Struthio camelus: one gene and its partners. The protein of the gene in region 1 interacts with the protein of each later gene in a biochemical or structural test. Links are inferred from orthologs where the notes say so. Each region holds a gene or a part of one and is shown in the gene's direction. Other genes may lie near its edges.

Region 1 (8,012 bases):
TGGGTTTTTTTTCAAGGCAATCAAGTATTGCAGTGAATGGATTTTTTTTCAAGGCAGTCAAGTATTACAGTGTATGGATTCTCTTAAGGCCATAAAAACATTTAGTGCAAAGAAAGAAACAAACCAAATGTTGTAAATGAATATAAAATTCAGGCCACTAACTGTGTCTATCAGGCTAAATGCCACCATTTAAGAAATGGGAAAAAATTAAAAATTCGTAATTTTTCAGCCTTTCATGTGAATGAAGGTTAATTCAGACAGTAATAGAAGGCAAATTTATTTGCTACGGGATGAGAACTCGCTACTGGGATAGAGTAATGAGATGATTAAATATTCATTTGTTTTTAATGGTCTTGATGTAGGAGAAAGCGTTCCATTGCGCACAAACGATCCAAATGCAGGTTTTTCTGTCCAGCTGAAAATTATTTATTTGCAGAAAGAAGATCTCTCAGAAGAAATATCTTCTGCTATTAGTCTGTAACTACAAAAGACTATAAAATATTAAAGGCTGAAGATACGTATCTTATGTAAGAACTGAATGTATACTTAACAAACAGGCTGTAGTTTATTTTTCCCCTATTTTTAGATACAAGAGAAGTATTTTAACTTAAAACTGTATTTTGCGTGAACTGCTAGATGGCTTGCTGAGCTACTGAAGACAATTCTCGATCCCATTGAAAATGCATGTAGACCTTTTCTCAGTGTGTGCATGCCTTTGCATAACAAGATGGGAAACACAAGCCTTACTGATAGCAGATGACTAGCTATGGATTTGAGATTTGGCTGTATTGTTGCTCCTGCTCTGGACAGTCAGTGGTCTTTCCACACAAAAATAAATCAGTGGGAAGTAATTTGGGGCAGTATTGCAATCTGCTCCTTTAAAAATTTAATATCACAAATGGAGTAGGCTAATATCCTGTTTAAAATTCAGCAGTTTTGGAAATGATGCCTTACTCAGAAATTAATGTTTGAGTGTTGATGGCTTACAAAAAAGCCCAATTACTTTTATTGTGCTAGTAAAATCTTCACAAACAAAATCCTTGTTAAATGGAGCTTCAAGCTGCTTGAGAGCGCTTCTTCTCATAGACTTCCAGTGTACAGAAAAGCTGAGCCTTAAACCTCAGAAAAACGGACAATGGAGAGTTCAGGCAAATGACAGTAGTGTTGTAGTAGAAGATTTATATGGAGAAATAAAATAACATTATTTACTGGATTAACTAATGTAATTTGGAAAACAAAAAAACAAGCTGTTGGGTATATTCAGATGAAACAGCCCTCCAGGGTCTGATACTTTCTCTCTGGCTGGGTTTGTGCACACTAACGACATAGTGCAAGATGCAGCACTGCAAAATCACGTATTCATGCTTAACAGCAGCAAATCCATGTGTTTTTCTTGCAAGCTGTAAGAACAATTTACTAATCAACGTTAGGCTCAATTACAGCAACAAGAGTGCTTTACAAAGTAACTGGTCCAAGAAATTGTGCCTGCTGCAACTTAGGCAGATTATCTTTGCTTGGCATTCACCCAGGAGCCTTCCTGCTTAAATTTGGCGATACCTCTAAATTAGCGGTGGGAAAGAGTGCTTTAGGCAGGGCTAAGTGAACAAGACTTAGAGAGAAAATGTTAGAGGTCTAGAGGTTTGACCCAGAGAAGGAAGGGGACTGTTTCTTTTGAATTTACCCAAAAGCTTATCTGGGTCTTTTTTCCAAACTTTATCAGTTGGTCTAATAAAAGGTACTGTTTCTCCATATGAATTTACCTTGTTCGTATTCATTGACTATCACGACTACGACACTATTGTCTCTTGCCTGAAGGCCACATTGCCTGTTTTTCACCAGTCTAAGTGCACTCACCTGATTTTTCATACGTTATACCCTACACTCATTTCTGGAACATGGATGAACTGATGCTGGCAAAAACAGATCTATACTCACTGGCTGGTACTAGCCCTTTCATAACTGGTAAACTGGTGAGAGGAGAACAGGCCAAGGTACCAGCATGTCTGGTTATCAATCCGTTAGGAAAACATGGGAAATCTACACAGCACCTTTTCTGAAGTTAGGAAGTCTACTGAGTAATGTTATCAAGTAAACAAGCGTTTATGTTGTAATAGAAGTGTCCTTTTTGAATAGTTTTGCTCTGTCTTTGGAGGCATGTTTACCTTGCCCAGAACTACTTAATGAAAGAAGTTGCCTTAAAAAAGATCCTGTGCAGCAGAGAACACAGTTAGGGAAGGTGGATCTAGACTATTCATTGGCAAGGCCGATAGGCAGAGTCCTTGTTTAAGGCTTATGGAACCAATCGATCTGCCATGGGCCCATCGAGTCAGTTATCTGAAGGAAGCTCTTACAAGAAAGAATCCCAGATAGCTCTACAAAAGGCACCGTTATATACTACTCTTGCCTTCCAGTCTCCGCTGTATAAGTAGCCTGAGAATGGTCAAGGACTCAGCTAGTCTCTTCTGGTATAACAAGCTGTCGACATCAGGTGAGAAAGTTTGAAAATAGGATATATAGAGAGAATCCCTGGGACTGGCTACCGTCTCTGTCAGCAGAGTTCAGTCTCAATTATTAGAAAAAACTGTACTTTTTCACAGAGACAAAATGTATGTTAGGAGCTATCAGTCTGTCTCACCAACAGAACTCTCTTTCTAGACAACAGTGTGTCCACAGTCCAGACCCTTGTGATCTGTCCACAGCAATTCTTACCAGTAATTAAAGGGAAAAAAAAAAAAAAGAAGAAGAAGAAGAAGCAAAAGACAAGCAAGTACAAATGCAAAAATTAATATGGATGGTCCAGACTCTACTGGAACCAGCAGTGTATGCTGCAGCAATAGGCTACAGTCCAGGCTGAGCAGACTACTGGAGGAGCAAAAACTTAAACTAGAGGCTAATCCCCTCTACATTATAGACTCAGACAGATACTCACATAGAAGCTGAAGATGGGGCGACTAGAGCTCCTCCTCCAGCTATACGGAAAGCTGTTTTCTGTTATCACTTCCGTGGCGAGAACTGAAAGACTGCAAAGACAACTGACGGCTGCAGAACCCACCCTGTAAGTGAACAGATGAGAAAAAGCTGGAAGCAAGGAGCAGCAAGATCCATTAAAGAAGATGACCAACTTTCTGTTGATGGTTGGTGAACTAAGGTTTTGCAGAATGTAAATGATGCATGAAATGCATAGTTTCCTGAAAGTTACCTTAGCTAAGGTTTAAACAGACCATATGAGGCATCACTGACCACCAGGGTCAATGACCACATATCATCTGGAGCTAACCAGCTAGAGCTGTAAGCTTTCTGTCCACAGACCTCAAAATGATGGACCTGGAGAATGGGATATAAACCCTGCACAACCTTGTCAGTGAGCTCCTGAGGGCTGATCCTTTCCCATAACATGAAACAGCAGTCAGGCTCCAAGCAATTGAGAGTACAGGTTCACTGGTCAGAGAACAAGTGTCTTGGGTGGTCTAGCCCTGTTGCTGAGACTGCTTTTTCTCAGAGCCTCCAGCTAGCCCTGGGAGGAGAGTGTAAACATGTGTGATTGATAACTACCACAGGCTTGCCCAAGCCCTGGCGGGAACGTGTTAGCTACCTGCATGTTTTGCAGTCTGCTAGGGGCATAGCTCAGAGAGAGGAGCCTGGGCCTGTGTTTGTTTTGGTAAGGGCAGAAGTTTTTCATCATCTGATGAGAGAAGTAGATTTGTGAGGGGCCAGGTTGGATGGGCTCAAAGCTGATGAAAGAAATTCATTTTCTGCCAGCACAGGTGCTGCTATGTTTGCCCACCCTTAGCTACATACATGGTTTTCCATGTGTTCTTCCTGAAATGAAGCTCTGCTTTCTAGCTCACAGCCTGCTCAGTACACAGAGAAGCTTAGCTCAGGCTTGTACGAACATTTACAACTACAGAGCTCAGACTAAAGCACCCTGCTTTATTTAGTTTTCCTAGCCCAGCTCTTCCAGTTGTCCTCTGCTGGTGGGGAAGGCCAGTGGGCAGGGAATCCTGTGTGATTCACAGGGCACTGTGAAAGGCAGGATGAATTCAGACCACGTGCAAAAATATCACAGAACTAGACCCTTTAAACGGGAATGTATATAAAGAAAGACTGCTCAGAAACACCACTGAATGGTAATTTGAGGATGACCTCAGACGTTCACCAGAAATGCTAACATGCTCCCTCATCAACACGCTGCTGTTGCTTGTAAGTTTGAGATTTTTTTTTTTTGAGAAAAAGGAAAGTCTTTATGACACTGTTACATTGATTCCAAACTAGGCTTTTGCAAGCTATCCCTTTTCCTCCTCTGGTGTTCTCAGGCTCTCCTGGCTTGGCTGTTACATCAGGTCAGCTCCTTACACAATGTGCAACTTCCTTCCTCCGCTGAGTGCCCTCGCAAGGCAACACCATCTCAGCCCGGCTGGAAAGGCTTTTCTTCATGTCAATGAATCTTACTTTTCCTTCTGCCAGTTTTTACCGAGTTCTGTGATCCCCAAGGCACTCTGGACATGAAGTGGTTAGGCAGGGACCCTCGAGGCTTGAGGAGAAGCCCCTGGCCTTCAGAGGTGCAGGAAAGACACCAACGATCTAAACAGCAGGGTTAGGCAGACCTTTTTAAAAAAAGAAAAGGAAAGAAAAGAAAAATCCCTGATGATTTCTTTCGTTCATCTCTTGTTAGCTCAGACGAGCTGCTCGAGCGGGGCAGGGGAGGCTCGGCCCCGCCTCAGGACCCTCCTCCCGTCGGGGCGGGCAGAGGCCCGTCGCGGCGGGCGGGCGGGCCCTGAGGCGGGGCGGGCCCGCGCGCGCCCCCCCGCCCGGCGCGCGTCTCCGGGTGGGCCGCGGAGCGGGCGCCAATCAGGAGGCGCGCCCGCCTCCCGGGGGGTGGGCGCGGCGCGGGGGGTTCCCGCCAATCAGGGCGGGGGAGGGCGCGCGCGCTGCGGCGAAGCCAGGGGAGGGGGCGGGGCGGGGCGGCGGCGGCGGCGGGGAGGGCGCGGGCTCGGCTCGCCGGCGCGGTCATGGCGGCTTCTCCCGTCGAGGTGTTCGGGCTGCCCGGCGAGGAGGTGAGCCTGGCGGGGCCGCCCCGCTCTCCCCGCGTCCCGTCGCGCCGGAAGGCGGGCGGCGGCTTCCCCGCGGGGTGGGCCCGGCCCGGCCCGGCCCGGCCCGGCGGAGCGGAGCCCGGCAGGTCCCGCCGCCGCCGCCTCGCTCGCGGAGCCGGGGCGGCAGCGCGGCCCTGCGCAGGCTGCCGCAGCGCCGTGCCGCCCCCTCCGCCGGGCGGGCGGGCGCGGTGACCCGGTCGGTACCGCGCCGGGCGGGCGAGGAGCGCTGGCGGATCGAGCCTTTGTTTCCGGCCGCGTCGGAGCCGCTGTCTGAGCGGTTGGGGTGGCGCGGGCGGGGCGGCCGCGGGGGAGGCAGCGGGGCGCGGGCGGCGCGGGCCTCGGCCAGCAGCGCCCGCTCGTTCTGAGCGTTACCTGCGTTGGGGGGGGGGGGGCGGCCTGTCCCCTTCCGCTCCCCCCTTCAGTCGCAGCGCTTTCCCTCAGACAGCTGTGCGGTGACCTGGGCGACATGTCGGTACTGTTGTTTTCGAGCCAGCAGGGCGTTTCACCAAGATTGTCTTCGATCGGCTCTTTCTGTGTCCCTCGGTGATGTTCTCTCTGTCAACGCGCCTTTGTTGCGGGCTTAGCAGGGTTGTTTTGTTCTTTTAACTTTGAAATACTCTTCCTAGTCTGTTAGCCTGACAGAAGGCTAACGTCTTCCTGAAGTCTGTTAGCTGTAATTGGTGTATTACTTCTCCAGAAGTAACCAAAAAGCTCTAATAAGTTAATTTTTCTTCTTAAAAACTTCAGTGGGGTAGGAACTCTCCTAGAAAATTAGCCCAACATGCTGTTAGGGCTGTCCAGCACTTCCATTGGAAGATCCTGTTTTCAGTTGCTTGCAACTTTCTGAGGCTATCCACTTGGACTGAAATATTCCATGCCTCAGGCTCTGTATTTTAATTTATTTTATTAAATTTCAGCCAGCTTAATTGTTGCTTAGCCTGCCTGCTGTGGGGAAGAAATTTTGAAATCGGCTCACAATTGAACAATTCTACTTTTCCTACATCCTTTGGAACATGAAGTCTTTGGAGGGAGGGGGAGGAAAGAAAGTTGTATGTAACGATTCTTTCATATTTAACTATTTCCACAACTTAAAAGCTTAGCCACACTTTCTCAAGTTACAGTTTTTTAAAACACAGTTTGTTTACCATCAGAGACTTTGATATTCAGTTGCTGTATATTGATAAACACTTAAAGAACATGTGCGGTTTTCTTCATAGTTTCAGTGTATGACTATACGTGCACAAATGATAAAATGGATAGTCTTTGGGTTATAGAAAATCTGCTGCCAGCTGCTTTGGACTAGGGTGCTAGAATTAAAACTAGAGTTCCTATCTCCCTGGATTCTCTTCTTTTTTTTCTTCCCAGAGTTTAAATCTGCAAAATTGCCTTCACAGAATTACAGTAAAGACACAGAATTAGAAAACCAAACCATACAGAAAAGAAAGAAGTAGTATCAAGGAGCTGTCTGTAAACTCCTTCTCCACACCAGTACACCTGCACCTTGATCTGCAGCCTTTCCATAGTTTATGTCTGGACCCTGCTTTTCCCGCGGGGCTGCTGTTTGACCCATTCCACGAGAGAGGTTTGCTTGGGATATGGTTTGAAGTTGTCTGCTTACCTCTGGAGGGCTTGGTCTAATTGTTGAGGCAGCTGAATGCAGCATTGGAGACTTCCACCCCCCCTCCCCCCCTTCCAGAATTTATCCCTGATAGCTTGCTTAATGGTGTATTAGTCATTCAGACCCTTAGTACGGGGCTGTTAATATCATGTTGCTGGCACAATGAAAATGTTGGCAAAGAGGCTGGGGTCAGAAGGAAGCTGTAGCTTAGGGCACGGTGTATACAGCTGGATATTGTGTATGCTGTGTTTAGGTATCTGAATTTCAGTGCCAAATTGTAGCAAATGCAATTGGTCTTAATTTTTCCGGTTCAGTTTTTATTCTATAAAATGGATATAATACCATTCTGTCACCAGTAGGACTTTTGTGGCTCACTTGGATGTTGAAAGAGTGAGCACTAGAAAAGCAGCCCATGAGGAGAATTAATAATTTTGTATTCAGAATGGGGTCTTAACAGTATGTGCAAAACAAGGTCTGGGATCACATGCTGAAAGAAGAAGAGAGAAGAAGATACAGAATAGTTGCTTGTTGAATACTACCTGGTTTGTTTCCTTAGTAAACAACAGTTGTTGTCTCTTAGAAAGTGTGACCTATGGTTGTATCAAAGGTTCTGGCAAGATGAAATACGCAGTAGCAGGCTAAAATAAATATGCAGTAGGAACAAAATTATAGTTGCCCAGTGATCACAATTCCTGGTACCGTTCGGCTTTTTTTGACGAAGTTATATCGAAGAACAAGACTGAATACTAATCAAGTGTCTAAAATCTGTTTTTATTGTAAACTATTCTACATTGCAGGAATAGTATATAGAAAAAAGACAAAAGAGATTACTCCTTTCTCAATCCAGGAAAATAAAGAGCTTTTACAAAGATTTTTAAGATTAATTTTTCTCCTCTCATTTACCTTGCCTTGAAAAGGAAAGAAACACTTTAAAGTGCGTTTCCCACCTTCAGGTCAGACTTTCTCTCCGTGCACTTTGCTTGAGGCCACTTGAAAAAAAATCAGTTGGGAGCATTAACTGCTGCAGACTTTGTCTTGACCTGTGAAGTGGGTAACTGTTCCTGTTATTGCATACAAGTATATGTCTGCCTTTGGATATAGTTCCAAGTGTTGGTTCATATTTGTAGAAGTTGATGGATGCAACTGCTGCTTTTCTTTGTGAAAGTAGCGCTGATTTTGCTGATGTTCTTAAATGTGCTTGTGAGGTAGGGTGTCCTCAGCTAAAGATTTTTTGGCTGAGAGACTTCCGAATGCAAAACTTTCAGCTTGTTCAGGTTTAGATTTTTGGTAAGGTTAAACATTTT
Region 2 (7,202 bases), on another chromosome or scaffold:
CCTAATTTTAAATTGTCTCTGTAACTAACAGGAAACAGCTGTGTCAGCATACAGATCAGTGTAGACTGCAAAATCCATCCTAGACCAAGGCAAATATCTGAGATGTTTCCCACCCTGAGCTCTGTGCTGCAGTAATTATATTTAAAGCTGGTTCAGATATATCTGCGTGATATTTGGACCTGATCTGCAGGACTATACATATGTATTTACATATGAATAAAGATGATGGTAATGTAATTGAAACTCTATTTTCAGCTAAGAAATCTTAAAAGTAGCCTAGCGTTCCTGTTAATGATGGCTCTGGCATTGCCTGTGCTGCCTAGAAAAGGAGAAGAAAAGATGAAGAAAACCAAGCCAACCTCCTATTATTTCTTTTTTAGAAATTCAGTCCCAGTGGTTTCTTTTAGTCAGCTTCCGTCTTAGAGTAGCTGTCAAAATCCATACAGAGATCAAAATTGTTATGCAGTTTATATAATCAAGAACATAGAATTAAAATTAAATAATTTATAAACATAGTTTGCAAACAGTGAAGAAAACAAATACAGCCAGTAAATAAATCTATGACCTGATTTCAGGTCAGTCCATGAGTAAATTAAATAAGTACATTAATTTCTTTAAATTTATCTTTGGACAAATCTACTTATTTCTCAGGGACATTGTTTGCATTATAGGTTTGAAAACCAAGGCTCAAGATGCAAAATTAAGTTACAAAAATTATTTTTGTCTTCATTTTTTGGATATAAATGAACAGCTTTCATTCTCTCTAGGTTTTTTACGTAGTATAGTAAGCAATACAGCATAGAAAGCACAATATTGACTTAAACGGTATCAAATAGTAAAATAGTATAAAATGCAATATTGCTTATGTATGTTTATTAAAATAAAATTGACCTAGTGCTGATGTTTACCCACTGTGTAATGTTTCTTTCCCATCAGAAACATTAAAAATTTGAATAGACTTATGCATGTAAAGAAGCACTTCCTTATTTGCTGACCATTGATAGAATAATGAATGAAAAAATAAATTTAAAATTGTTAACAATCTTGTAGTGCTTGCAGTTGTGTAATTAAGTTCAGATGTATCTGAATTCAGATCACAGCTTCCAAGTCAACTTCTCAGGGTACTAAGATTGCAACAGTTATTACTACCAAAAAGATTCCTTTGTTGGCTCATTTTCATGTTAGAGCAAAGTTTAAACTGTTGTAAACTTGCTGACTAAAAGCAAATTGATTTCTTCTTTCCTAAAACAAATCTAAAACAATGCTTTCTTTTAAATGTCATTTTGACATTATTTTCTTTACATACTGAGCACTTTCCATAAATACAGCTCTTTCACAATAAACAAATTACTACATGATCCAGAAAACAGTGATAACCATTACTGTCACTGTATACCGTGGTTTAAGGAGGTCACACAGAAAAAAATAAATATTAAAACTTGTATTATTCAAATATTTTAATCAACATGATTTGGTTATCTAGGCAATAAAGTTCTAACTGTTCTGAAATACATATTTCTCACTTTCAGTGTACATTTACAGGTGCCTTAGTGCTTGCTGATTACTTTGTGCTGTAGATTAATATTATGCCATAGACAAAATCTCTAGAACAAGGCAGTTAAAATATATTGATAACACTATTTTGACAATAACAATATCTTTCAGGAACGTATGACCTTCCTTTTTAGCCTTCTATCAGTGCAATAACACAGCCACCCACACAGTTACGTGGCTTTAAAAAGAAGAGTTACAGCATTCCAGAAAGAGCAAGAACTGAAAGACGGACATATTCAGAGTCAAAAGCCATACTGTCTGTTTTAAGGATGCATTTATAATACTGCTAAAGAATAAGAAGTTGAGTTTCTATACATCTCTTAAGCTGTAGCACGCATCCAAAGTTCATCCTTAAGCATGCAGCTCCCTTCCTACACACGCAGTATTCCTCTACTGAATCTTTTTGCCAGCTTCTGTGAAATATTTTGTAATTTCCTTGTTAAAGACATTGTGGTCCTATCTGCTGTCTTTTCTTTCCTTAAAAAAAAAAAATATATATATATATATGTATATTTTAATTTAAAACTACAACTTGCTTCTTACTAAATGCTTACTCAGTTGCTGTGTTGTGTGTGTTTGTATTCTGTTTAAATATTTACAGAGCGAAATGTTCTTTGGCAGCTATTAGCAGAACTCACCTGGTGTCCAACTGGGAGCTTCTAGGCATCTTTATTCAATAGAGCTGAGGTACAAAACATAGAAAAGAAAATGTGGAGGTCAGACAGCATTTTCAAAATTTCACTTGTTCAAAACTCCATTTCTGATTAACGCAACACTTTCCAGAAAACATCTTCCTGGACTCAGATGTGACATTGAACACTTTAAAAACTGTCTACTTTTGGGAAGTTTGTTTCTAACAGTATAGAAGACACTAGAAATTAAACCTATTATATGAATGGTCTAAATTCCCTTTCCCATGAAATCTGATAATACAATTAAGAGGTTTTCCTTCTATTTGGTAACAGAAGCACAGTACAGTACTCTGTACATGCTATTCTTAAACTTAACATGACCTGTACTAATAAATCTTCCCTTTAAGACAGAATAATTAAACACAGAAACTTTCATTATGTATAGAGGTAAAGAGGAAAAGGGAGGAAATCCTGCCAGGAAAATAATAACATTAGTCCATTTCTAACCTGTATTTCTCTGCCAACTTTGTTTCTAGACTGTTAGGCCTTTTTATGCACAACCAAGTTGTTCAATGAGGAACATAAGAAATGCAACAAACAAGAGTAGGCCGTGTAAGTTCCCAAAACTTGGTCTGTTTGCTTATTAATAACCGTTGTGGTAGCCAGAGATGGGCTTCAAGTGAGGTCCTGGGCACATCATGCTCCCGCTCCCTCCTCCCTGTGTACCTTCACTCCCACCCCCACCTCGAAACCAACCCCCAGCTCTCCACTTCTCTGCCCTCCTACACACACATACTAGGGCTTAAACTCCACTCCTGCAAGTCCTTATCCAGGCTAATGACCGCCTGCGTGACAACGCTTAGCCTGCCGCTCAGGTCAGCCTCCGAACAAGCAGGCTGTCTGGATAAAGGCAGTGATCTGGGCTATACGGGACAAAGTTCTGCCATGAGCCATTACTGATAGCAAGAATCTGCTTTCATGAGAGTGTTTATCCTAGGGATCTGCTATACCCCCCCCCCCCATACAAACGCTCCTTTCTACTATGGCTCGGAGCTGTATGCCCAGCTGTTTGGAAATTGTTTTAAACTACGACTGCGTATCTGACAGTTTGGGAACCTAGGAAGGAGTCGTACTGATCTGACAGGCCACCAGGGTGAAAGTTTTCACTGTTTTTACCCCAGGAGGTCATCAGTGTTACATCAATACATAAACATTTACAGTTTTAGAAAGACGAGTGAAGGAGAAGATCACAACGTTTTTCTCCTCCTCCTCCTCCTCCTCTCAGAGAATGGTGCTTTTGCCTTGAATTTTCAAAGGAACAGAAGACAAATAGGTTCTTGACTTAAAATTAGTACAGAAAGATTCCTACTCCAGATCATCTTCTAGGCCTCAAGGATGTCTACTTTATTCCTTATTTATTTATTCGTGCCTGATGGGGATAAGCTGCTAGGCTACGCATGCTTTGTGGACAGAATAGCCTTGCTGATAGTGCAGAAGGAGGAAAAATACTACCGAAAAGAGGGGGAAAGGGCAGCGGCGCACAAACCCTGTGAGGGGCTGAGCGTACACACCCACCCCGAGAAGGGCTGGGGACACCAGCCAGCAGGGCCAGCGCCCGGCAGGGCCTTGGTGGCAGGGCGCTCAGCACAGCCCCTGGGGCTGCCGCGCTGCCAACGCCAGCAACGCCGTCAGCTCCACTCCCCGAGCAGCTCCGGCGGCGGGGGTTACACCGAGGCGCAAATCGCTGCGCCTCGCATAACGGCAGAGAAGACGGACAAACCCATACGTTTCCCCCACCAGGCAGGGCACGCCCGTTTAAACACCTCCACGCTTCCCCCCAACACCCCGCCCAACGGCCGACCAGCGGCCCCGCGCCTGCGCAGAGGCGCGCGCGCCCACCGTCCCCTTCCCCCCCCACTCCCGGCGGCGGTCGGTCCCCGGCGCGTCACAGAGGGCGGGGCCGCAGCGCGCTCCTCTTCCCCCCCCCCCCGCCCAACGGCAGGAAGGGAGGCGTTGGTGGGCGGTGTGGCCCCTCCCCTGGTGGAGGGCGGGGCGCGGCGGAGCGGGGGGAGGGGCGGCGGCGACCGGCTCCGTCGCTGGAGTGGGCGAGGAGGAGGCGGCGGCGGCGACGGCAGCGACGACGACGACGACAGCGGTTGAGCGAGCGGGCGGGCGGCGGGGAGGAAGGGCTGAGCGAGGATCGGGCTGGTCGGAGCAGCTGCGGCCGCGCCACTGTGTGCGTCCGCCGGCGGCCGGGATGGATCACCACCAGGCCGCCAGCCGCTACCAAGTGGTGAGTGCGGCCGGCCGCGGCGAGGCCCGGCCGCCGGGTCGGTCCGTGGCGGGGAGGGGGAGGTGAGCCCACTCGGAAGCCCTTTCATCCCCGCCCCTTCGCCTTTTTTTCCCCCTCCCCCCTTCTTTTTTCTACTACTCCCCTCCCCCCCTTTTTTGGGGCCTACGCGACTCCAAATGTGAGGGTCTGACAGAGATCGCCTCGCGTTTCTCCAGCAGTGATGTGGGCCCGGGCCCGGGCACGACCCTGTCTTTTCCCTCCCTCCCTCCTGCCCCCTCCGCGATAGCCGCCCCTCCCCGGGAAGGGAGGGGGGGATTTGGCTTCGGCAGGGGCCCGCCGCGGAGCTGTGTGCTTGAGGGGGGCTGCCTCAGCCCGGCCGAGCTGCTCGCTTGTCTTCGCGGAAAATCCCGGTGCCCTTCCCTGTTCTCGTCCGCCCTGCGCAGGCTGGCCTTGCTTCCCCTCCCTTAGGCTGCCTCGGGGCGGTCGGTGGCGGTGCGGGGGCTGTTGAGGGCTGGGCTGAGTTGAGCTGAGGTGGGATGGCAGCGGTCTCCTCTCCGCTCGGGAGGGCAGTATGTTTTTCTTGCCCGGTTAACTGATTGCGTGGTAGCTGTCTTGATCTTCGCTGATCTAGCCGGGTGGCTTATGCTTTCCTCTTAGGTAAGAAGTAAATGGACTCCTCTGTATAGCTTGTTACTTTTGTGATGTTCAGGAGAAATTCGTAGAGCCTGGCTTTGTTTGAGTATTTCACTGATAGTTCAAGCTGTTGTCCTGGCAAAAGTTTATTTGAAGAACAGTATTTTGTGCTGTCTAGCTGTGAAATTAAGGATAGGGCAATATCTCTAATTAATACATGTGTCAGAGAATGAAGTGTCACTTGTATTCTAAAGCCATTGTTAGCAGTTGCTTGGCTATCTAGCACAGGGATAGATTTTAATGTGTGTATATTCTAATCTTAAGTAAGCCATTGCACATATGTGTATGCGCACACACACGTGTACTGTGGCTGACTAAAGATTAGATTCAGTGTACTGTAAAACACTGAAGACAGATCTTCTGTAGGCCTGTGTTTATGTATATATGTATGTATATGTGTACACACACGTGGGTGCATGCACACATACACCAAGGATAGTGGTTTACTGAAGTACTTTACAGTTCATTGAGTCTAATTTGAATGCTCTTTCCTTCCTCCTAAACTTCATTACTGAAAAAGTAACTTAGTATACTAAGCTCTTCTTCCAGCCTGAGTTGAGTGTACTGCTTGTTTCAATCAGTTGTTAGTTTAGTGTCAGTTATAGTTAAAAGGTGTATGCTTTTCTGATTATGTCACAAAAATGGCTTACGTGTAGTCAGCCTCTTCAAAATTTTCAATTTTAACCTTTAGTTCCATGTACTTCATGGCTTTGCTACATATTTAAGGGGGATACCATACAAATGTGAAATCTTTGCTACTGATTGTAGTTTAAACCTCTTTTACAATCCTCCATCTAAAGCCTGAATTGTTCATCTTACTGTTTGTGTTTTACAGCTTGAGTAGTGAAAACAATGAGCACAAAAGTAGTCACATTTACTTTTGTTTGATCTGTTATCTTGTATTTCTGGGTCTGGTGATATTAATGCCATGTTCTAGAGGTAAATGGCTCTTCTGGGTTGCAAGCAAAGAACTCCTAAGAGTGAACTTATGTAAAAATAAATACAAACGTTTGTATTCGGATTGTTCCTAGGTTATACTCTAAAATGAATAATGAGAAAGCCTTTGTTATGCATTTGAAATATTCATTTTGATAGTCCTACCAATAGTATGGAAGATTTCTGTTTGCTCTTGCGTGATTATATTGTGGGACAGTCATATAGCTGAAGAACATACCCGGCAGTCTGCATCTTCTCAGGAGTGAAGTATACCTTTAGGACACTAGCAGGTCCCAATGCACTGTATGGGTTAGTTAGCAGCCTTCTAACATACTTCTCTTCCTGTGCCACATTACCATAATTTAGAATTAGCAGAAGTCCAAAAGTCATTGGCTCTTCTTTACAAAGGTGAATGAAAATGCTGGCAGAGCATTTTCTGAGGAGCCTTCAAATGCTATATTCCCTCTGAGGTCTGAAGTAACCAAGTTATGTTTTAAAAGGCCTTAAAAGTGTATGCTGTTAGAGGTCTGATAAATATAATGGAAATTTTGCTTCCGTTACTCAGAGGAGTAGAAAAAAGCATGGTAAGATGGAATGAAGAGATAATTTGCCTCTGTAATTTTTTTTTTTGTTATATTTGATTTAAAACTTCCAACTATGGTGCTGGTGCCCAGCTTTGAATAAATGCTTTTTGTTGCAGTGTTCTAAAAGGAACGATATTGATGTAATATAGTAAGAGTTGGCCCAATCAATTTCCCATGTATATTAAACTTTGTGGCCAATTTATGTAACTGAGTTTTGTTACAGAAGTGTTCCCTGAAGCCTGTGCAATTACAGCACATTAAATAACTGACTACAAATTCAATAGAACGACAAAAGTGCTGTTTTAATCTTTGATGCACCACCGAGTTCAAAATAAGATCTTACTGATTACTACCTTTTAGGAAGGACCGTATTGTTTTTCTTTTACTATACATACATCTGCCTACTTGACACTGAGACTTTCAAAATGTTATTTGCTTACTCTGCTGGGTCAGAGGATGGAAGAACAAGACAATTGCAGATACACTTAATTAGCACCTGATTCTTAAAGC
Region 3 (7,045 bases), on another chromosome or scaffold:
GAGGTCTTTTTACAGTTCTTCACGAGTTTATTTTCATTTTACCACCCCGAATACTTCAACAGTGACAGCAAACTCTGTCACCCCGTTCTCCACCTCCTGTCATGAGCGCTGAAGAAGGCAAGGTGTGGCATGGTTTTGCCGGGACTCTGCTGCTGACCTCCCCCCACCGTGAACATCGACACTGAATTCCTGCCTTTTACCCTCAGTCTTGTAAGCAGTAGTTTTTCCCCGCATGGAGAACCTTAGCAATTTCCCCATGCCAGCTCAGTTTCTGTAAAAGCCACTTCTTCTGTTCATTGGGAACTTTAAATCAAAGCCTAAACTTTACAATTTCAATAACTTGAGAAAAATGCAGCCGAACAAAACCCAGCCTCGCATCTGCTCCTTGAGTCCCGAGGCGCCCTGCCAAGGAGCTGGAGTCGCCGGGCTGCTCCCGCGGCATGGCGGGGAGCAGCAGGTCCGCATGGTGCCTGCCCCTGACCCCTGTCCCCCTCTCCCCTGCGAGGCTGCTCCCTTCCTGCCCTGGCTCCCCTAGTGCCTCTCCTCCCTGCTCTGTCCCTCTGGCCCCGTCCGCTCCCTCTGACCCCAAACCCGGGTGGTTCTCCTCGCTGCCTAGTCCAGCCCCTGCAGGCTGCCCACAGCTCCAGCCCTCCTTCTTCCCCAGCCCTCCTTCCTCCCCTCCCTCTTTCCTCCCCCATCCTTCCCCTGACTCTATCCCTCCATCCACCCGTCCCTCTTTCCTTCCTATCCTTCCTCCTTCCCTGTCCTCTACATCCCTCCTTCCTTCTTCCCAGTCCTTCCCCATCTTCCCCCATGCCTCTTTCCTTCCCACGCCTCTTCCACCCCATTCTTCCCCATCCTCCCTTCCTCCTCCTTTCCCACCCCTCTTTCCTCCCCATCCTTCCTCCCCATCCCTCCTTCCTCCCCATCCTTCTTCCCTATCCTTCCCCATCGCTCCTTTCTCCCCATCCTTCCTGCCTTTTCTTCCTCCCCATCCTTCCCCTATCCTTCCTTCCTCCTCACCTTTTCCCCATTCCTCCTTTCTCCCCATCCTTCTTCCCCATCCTTCCTCCCCATCCTTTCCTCATCTCTCCTTCTTCCCCATCCTTCTTCCCCATCCTTCCCCCATCCCTCCTTCCTCCCCATCCTTTCCTCATCTCTCCTTCTTCCCCATCCCACCCTCCCCCTCATCCTTCCCCCATCCCTCCTTCCCCATCCCTCCTTCCTCCCCATCCTTCCCCATCTCTCCTTCCTCTGCATCCTTCCCCCATCCCTCCTTCCTCCCCATCCTTCTCCCTTTCCTTCCTCCCCATCTCGCTTTCCTTCCCCATCCTTCCTCCTCATTCCTCCTTCCTCCCCATCCTGCTCCCTTTCCTTCCTCCCCATCCCACCTTCCTTCCCCATCCTACCTTCCCCCATCCCTCCTTCCTCCCCATCCTTCCCCATCTCTCCTTCCTCCATATCCTTCCCCCATCCCTCCTTCCTCCCCATCCTTCTCTCTTTCCTTCCTCCAATCTCACCTTCCTTCCCCATCCTTCCTCCCCATCCTTCTCCCTTTCCTTCCTCCCAATCTCACCTTCCTTCCCCATCCTTCCTCCCCATCCTTCCTTCCTCCCCATCCTTCTCCCTTTCCTTCCTCCCTGTCCCTCCTTCCTCCCCATCCTTCTCCCTTTCCTTCCTCTCTATCCCTCCTTCCTCCCCATCCTTCCTTTCTCCCCATCCTTCTCCCTTTCCTTCCTTCCCATCCCACCTTCCTTCCCCATCCTTCCTCCCCATTCCTCCTTCCTCCCCATCATTCCTCCCCATCCTGCCTTCCTCTGCATCCTTCCCCCATCTCTCCTTCCTCCGCATCCTTCCCCCATCTCTCCTTCCTCCCCATCCTTCCCCCATTCCTCCTTCCTCCCTATCCTTCTCCCTTTCCTTCCTTCCCATCCCATCTTCCTTCCCATCCTTCCCCCATCCCTCCTTCCTCCCCATCCTTCTCCCTTTCCTTCCTTCCCATCCCACCTTCCTTCCCATCCTTCCCCCATCCCTCCTTCCTCCCCATCCTTCCCCCATCCCTCCTTCCTCCCCATCCTTCTCCCTTTCCTTCCTTCCCATCCCATCTTCCTTCCCATCCTTCCCCCATCCCTCCTTCCTTCCCATCCTTCTCCCTTTCCTTCCTTCCCATCCCTCCTTCCTCCCCATCCTTCCCCCATCCCTCCTTCCTCCCCATCCTTCTCCCTTTCCTTCCTTCCCATCCCTCCTTCCTCCCCATCCTTCCCCCATCCCTCCTTCCTCCCCATCCTTCTCCCTTTCCTTCCTTCCCATCCCTCCTTCCTCCCCATCCTTCCCCCATCCCTCCTTCCTTCCCATCCTTCCCCCATCCCTCCTTCCTTCCCATCCTTCTCCCTTTCCTTCCTTCCCATCCCTCCTTCCTTCCCATCCTTCCCCCATCCCTCCTTCCTTCCCATCCTTCTCCCTTTCCTTCCTTCCCATCCCATCTTCCTTCCCATCCTTCCCCCATCCCTCCTTCCTCCCCATCCTTCTCCCTTTCCTTCCTTCCCATCCCTCCTTCCTCCCCATCCTTCCCCCATCCCTCCTTCCTTCCCATCCTTCCCCCATCCCTCCTTCCTTCCCATCCTTCTCCCTTTCCTTCCTTCCCATCCCTCCTTCCTCCCCATCCTTCCCCCATCCCTCCTTCCTCCCCATCCTTCTCCCTTTCCTTCCTTCCCATCCCTCCTTCCTCCCCATCCTTCCCCCATCCCTCCTTCCTCCCCATCCTTCTCCCTTTCCTTCCTTCCCATCCCATCTTCCTTCCCATCCTTCCCCCATCCCTCCTTCCTTCCCATCCTTCCCCCATCCCTCCTTCCTTCCCATCCTTCTCCCTTTCCTTCCTTCCCATCCCTCCTTCCTTCCCATCCTTCCCCCATCCCTCCTTCCTTCCCATCCTTCTCCCTTTCCTTCCTTCCCATCCCATCTTCCTTCCCATCCTTCCCCCATCCCTCCTTCCTCCCCATCCTTCTCCCTTTCCTTCCTTCCCATCCCTCCTTCCTCCCCATCCTTCCCCCATCCCTCCTTCCTCCCCATCCTTCTCCCTTTCCTTCCTTCCCATCCCTCCTTCCTCCCCATCCTTCCCCCATCCCTCCTTCCTCCCCATCCTTCTCCCTTTCCTTCCTTCCCATCCCTCCTTCCTCCCCATCCTTCCCCCATCCCTCCTTCCTCCCCATCCTTCTCCCTTTCCTTCCTTCCCATCCCTCCTTCCTCCCCATCCTTCCCCCATCCCTCCTTCCTTCCCATCCTTCTCCCTTTCCTTCCTTCCCATCCCTCCTTCCTCCCCATCCTTCCCCCATCCCTCCTTCCTCCCCATCCTTCTCCCTTTCCTTCCTTCCCATCCCTCCTTCCTCCCCATCCTTCCCCCATCCCTCCTTCCTCCCCATCCTTCTCCCTTTCCTTCCTTCCCATCCCTCCTTCCTCCCCATCCTTCCCCCATCCCTCCTTCCTTCCCATCCTTCTCCCTTTCCTTCCTTCCCATCCCTCCTTCCTCCCCATCCTTCCCCCATCCCTCCTTCCTCCCCATCCTTCTCCCTTTCCTTCCTTCCCATCCCTCCTTCCTCCCCATCCTTCCCCCATCCCAATTTCCTCCCCATCCTTCCCCCATCCCTCCTTCCTCCCCCTCCCTCCTTCCTCCCCGCTCCCCACCCCCTCTCCTCCCCCGGTTCCTCCCCCCGCTCCGCCGCCGCTGGCCGGCAGGGGGCGCCGCGGTGCCGATGCCGGTGCCGGTGCCGGCGGCTGGGCGGGCCGGGCCGGGCCGGGGCGGTGCCGGCGGCGGGGCGGGGCGGGCGGCGGCACCGCCCCGCGCTCCCCCCCCGCCCCGCTCTCCCCCCGCCTGCGCGGGGCTGCGCGGGGCGGCACCGAGCACACGGCGGCGGCACCGCCGAGCCGGGCAGCCTGGGAGCGGCGGCGGCCGGCGGGGAGGGCAGCGGCGCGCCGCCGCGGCGCGGAGCGCACCGAGCACCATGGCCCTGGCCGCGGGGAGTGCTCACGCGGGGACTAAAACTCTGTGGATACAATGAAGTGAATCTGGGACTCTTGGTTTAGCGGGGAAAATTAAATAAACCAATGTAAGTTCCTCTTTTTTGCTTGTTCGCTAATAAAAAGGACGCCACGAAGAAGTCCGGTTCGAAGCGTGCCTGAGGAGGAGGAATTTCCCCTTGCCCTGCTTGGAGACCCAAACTTTCCCCGCTAGCCGGGAGAGCCGGTAGCGCCGCGTCCCGCTCCCCTTCCCCCGCGCCCCTCGCCGGGTGCCGCTTCGGGCCGTCCCGCGTGGGGAGGGTGGCGGGGAGGCTGGCGCGGCAGGTGCGAGAAGCGGCCGGCGGAGCGGCCAGGCTCGCCCCCCGGGGTGCTAAGGCTGAGGTTTGGCTGCTGAGGGGTAACTCTTGCTGCGAGTCGAGCTGGTTTCCCTCGGGCTTCTGCATCTGAAACTGCCGCTGATAATAATAATTAATAATAATAATGATAGTAATAATAATAACAATAGCAACAACACGGAGGATACTCAGCAAATAGTTTGGTGAATGTAATGTGGTAGCAGATGTGTTTGAACGGAAATTTAGTAGCACATTGGGAAGGGAAGAAATTAATTCGGGGGGGTATTTCCATGGTGGCAAGGAAAATTTATCATTCTTCTATAAGACTATTACTGATATTATTTGTTGTAAGAACTGACATAATATATTATGTGTATATGTCGCTCACTTCAAAGGGCTGCCCCTTGGAGGCCCTGCTTTAAATATATGGATTTTTTAACCAGCCCAAATCAAAAACTCTACTTGACTTGTACAAATAAAAGAAAAGCACAGAGAGCTGTGCTGCGCTCTGGCAAGGTGATCATGATTTTATCAAGACAGCCTAGAGGGGAACAGGGACATACTCGGAGCACCGTACGAGATAACGAAATCTGAATTAAAACAAAACTTACGCAACCAGACTGTGACTGCAATGGGAATATTTTTTTTTTTCCCCCTGGGAGATTGGGATGAGGAGGAGGAGGAGGAGATGAGCTTCTAAAAAGCAGAGGTGCACACAGGCGACACACGCACAGCAACAGGTCTCATTTTGCCTGGAAAGGAGGAGTTGAGGTTAGCGGGTGCTTCAGCTGAGCCTTTCCAGCTGTGCCCGGGGCAGGTGCTGACCCCGGAGACGGGTGCCGGGAGCGAACCTGGTGGCCCCCATGTCCCCCACCTCCCGGGGGACCAACAACTCTTCCTGAAAGACCGGTCATAAACACTGCGATTCAAAGAGGATTTGTCAATACTAAAAATAAACAGGCCCGCAGATGTGTCCTGTAGGGTCATGTGCGGTTTCAACACTTTCAGGGCTGCTCTGCTGATTTCCCCATTTTGCGTGTGTGTGTGCCTGTGTCCTGTCCAAGGTGCTGAAGTGCATTTTGCTGTCATTTCCGAGGATTTAAGGGTTTTGCACAGGTGATTGCTGCAGGCTTCCTCTCGTGTTAAAGCGGTGCAGTTTGAGTTGGAGGGTACCTCCTGGGTGGTGCCAAGAGGAAGCAGGGATGTGTTTTCAGACACGTATATTTGATCCGTCCTTTTGGCGTGGGAAAGCAGGCCAGGTGGAGTCGCAGATGGATCCGGCAGATCCTATAAGCTTTTGGTGGCAGAGAATTGAAAAGGTCAGAGCTGCAGGGCAGTGGGGAGTGGATCTCCCTTTGTGCTAATGGGCCAAAAACGTGGTGCATTTGAGGATGTTGCTGCTGTTGGTTTGAGTATGTTGCCTTCAGTGAGACATTAGCTGGTTCCAAAAAAACAGAGGGAAGCTCCATGTCGGGGACGGGATGGGATGAGAATGATACAAATGGGATGGGAGTGATGATTTTGGAAATACTCTTTTCTGGTGTAAGCCTTTTCATATGGTTACCAAAGTTGAACGGGACCTTTAGAAACAGAGGCTACTTAAGAAAAGAGTCTATTTTGGGGGGTAAGTGTCTGAACAAGTGAACAATATAAATGGAAGCCCGTGGTGCAAGTTGTGATATTTTTAGATTTATGCCAAAATATCTGAGTAGTATGTAATTCTTTGTATGAAACGGATCACAGTGTTGCCAGAAATAATCACAGAAGAATATGATACTTAACTTGTACATGATTGGAGATCGGTGTTGTGACATGTGGTTTTTCTCAGTTCTTGATATTAATCTGAAGCTATCCATAATACAGTTTGTACTTCTGTCTGAGACTCTCAAGGGGCTCTGCAACCACAAAGGGTCAAATTCTGATACCCATGTTCGCATGGAGAAGTAGTTTACACTGCAAGGAGTGCTGCAGATTTAAAGCATGCCAAAACTCTGTACAGTATGATAGAGAACTGATATTGTTTCATACCCTCATTTCAGAGGAGGTTAAATCATTTGTCAGAGATCGCAGAGGAATTCAGTTACATCATTGGGTATGTAACCCAAATACTTTGACCATGAAGGGTGTATGTAGACCATGAGGCTTCCTCACTCTGAATGACAGCTTATGGGTACAGTGTTTAAAAGTGTTTCACTGTTGAAAGCGCTGTTTTCCTGACATGTATCATCAGAGATGTCCCTGTGCTCGCTGTGATAGAAAAACACCTGCAGGACCAGCTAACACCTCCCAGGACTTCTGCAGGCCGCAGAAAACCGTGGAGTAGTTGCTGGGTCACAAAAAACTGTGGAGTAGTTGCTATGTTCTTGCTTCAACTGTATGCTCAAAATTATATCTAAAAATGTATTGCTAGGGAATGGAGTCCTGAATGAAACAGGAGATTTAGGAAACATAGCTATTTAAAAAAAAAATCCTGTATATGACATTAGAAGAGGATTGATACCTTATTTTCTTTTCCTTTTCATGAGCATTTTCTCTCTAGTATCTTGAAGGAATGTTCTGCACATGTATGTGAGGAAAGATCATGTGAGGTCGCATGATAAGGCATGTTGGGCTAGTGTTTGGAAATCCTGGTTATGCTTTTCTGAAGGGACAGGTTATCATCTGGTATCACCTTAGATGCCTTCGTATTTGGAAGC

The links. The genes of interacting proteins can lie anywhere in the genome.
Region 2: the proteins of NEDD4 (region 1) and NDFIP2 form a complex in vitro, tested with the Homo sapiens proteins (3 studies listed by BioGRID, with this or other methods). The link is inferred for Struthio camelus from reciprocal best matches to the Homo sapiens genes NEDD4 and NDFIP2.
Region 3: the proteins of NEDD4 (region 1) and sodium channel protein type 5 subunit alpha form a complex in vitro, tested with the Homo sapiens proteins (3 studies listed by BioGRID, with this or other methods). The link is inferred for Struthio camelus from reciprocal best matches to the Homo sapiens genes NEDD4 and SCN5A.

What each region holds. Positions count from the first base shown.
Region 1 is NC_090953.1:16,358,313-16,366,324, reverse strand, and holds the start of NEDD4 (E3 ubiquitin-protein ligase NEDD4), read left to right. Parts: upstream 1-4,955; 5' UTR 4,956-5,009; coding exon of another isoform or gene 5,010-5,054; intron 5,055-8,012. UniProt on the Homo sapiens protein: E3 ubiquitin-protein ligase which accepts ubiquitin from an E2 ubiquitin-conjugating enzyme in the form of a thioester and then directly transfers the ubiquitin to targeted substrates. Specifically ubiquitinates 'Lys-63' in target proteins.
Region 2 is NC_090942.1:175,522,716-175,529,917, reverse strand, and holds the start of NDFIP2 (NEDD4 family-interacting protein 2), read left to right. Parts: upstream 1-4,191; 5' UTR 4,192-4,443; coding exon 4,444-4,479; intron 4,480-7,202. UniProt on the Homo sapiens protein: Activates HECT domain-containing E3 ubiquitin-protein ligases, including ITCH, NEDD4, NEDD4L, SMURF2, WWP1 and WWP2, and consequently modulates the stability of their targets. As a result, may control many cellular processes.
Region 3 is NC_090943.1:7,057,672-7,064,716, forward strand, and holds the start of sodium channel protein type 5 subunit alpha, read left to right. Parts: upstream 1-4,034; 5' UTR 4,035-4,103; intron 4,104-7,045. UniProt on the Homo sapiens protein: Pore-forming subunit of Nav1.5, a voltage-gated sodium (Nav) channel that directly mediates the depolarizing phase of action potentials in excitable membranes.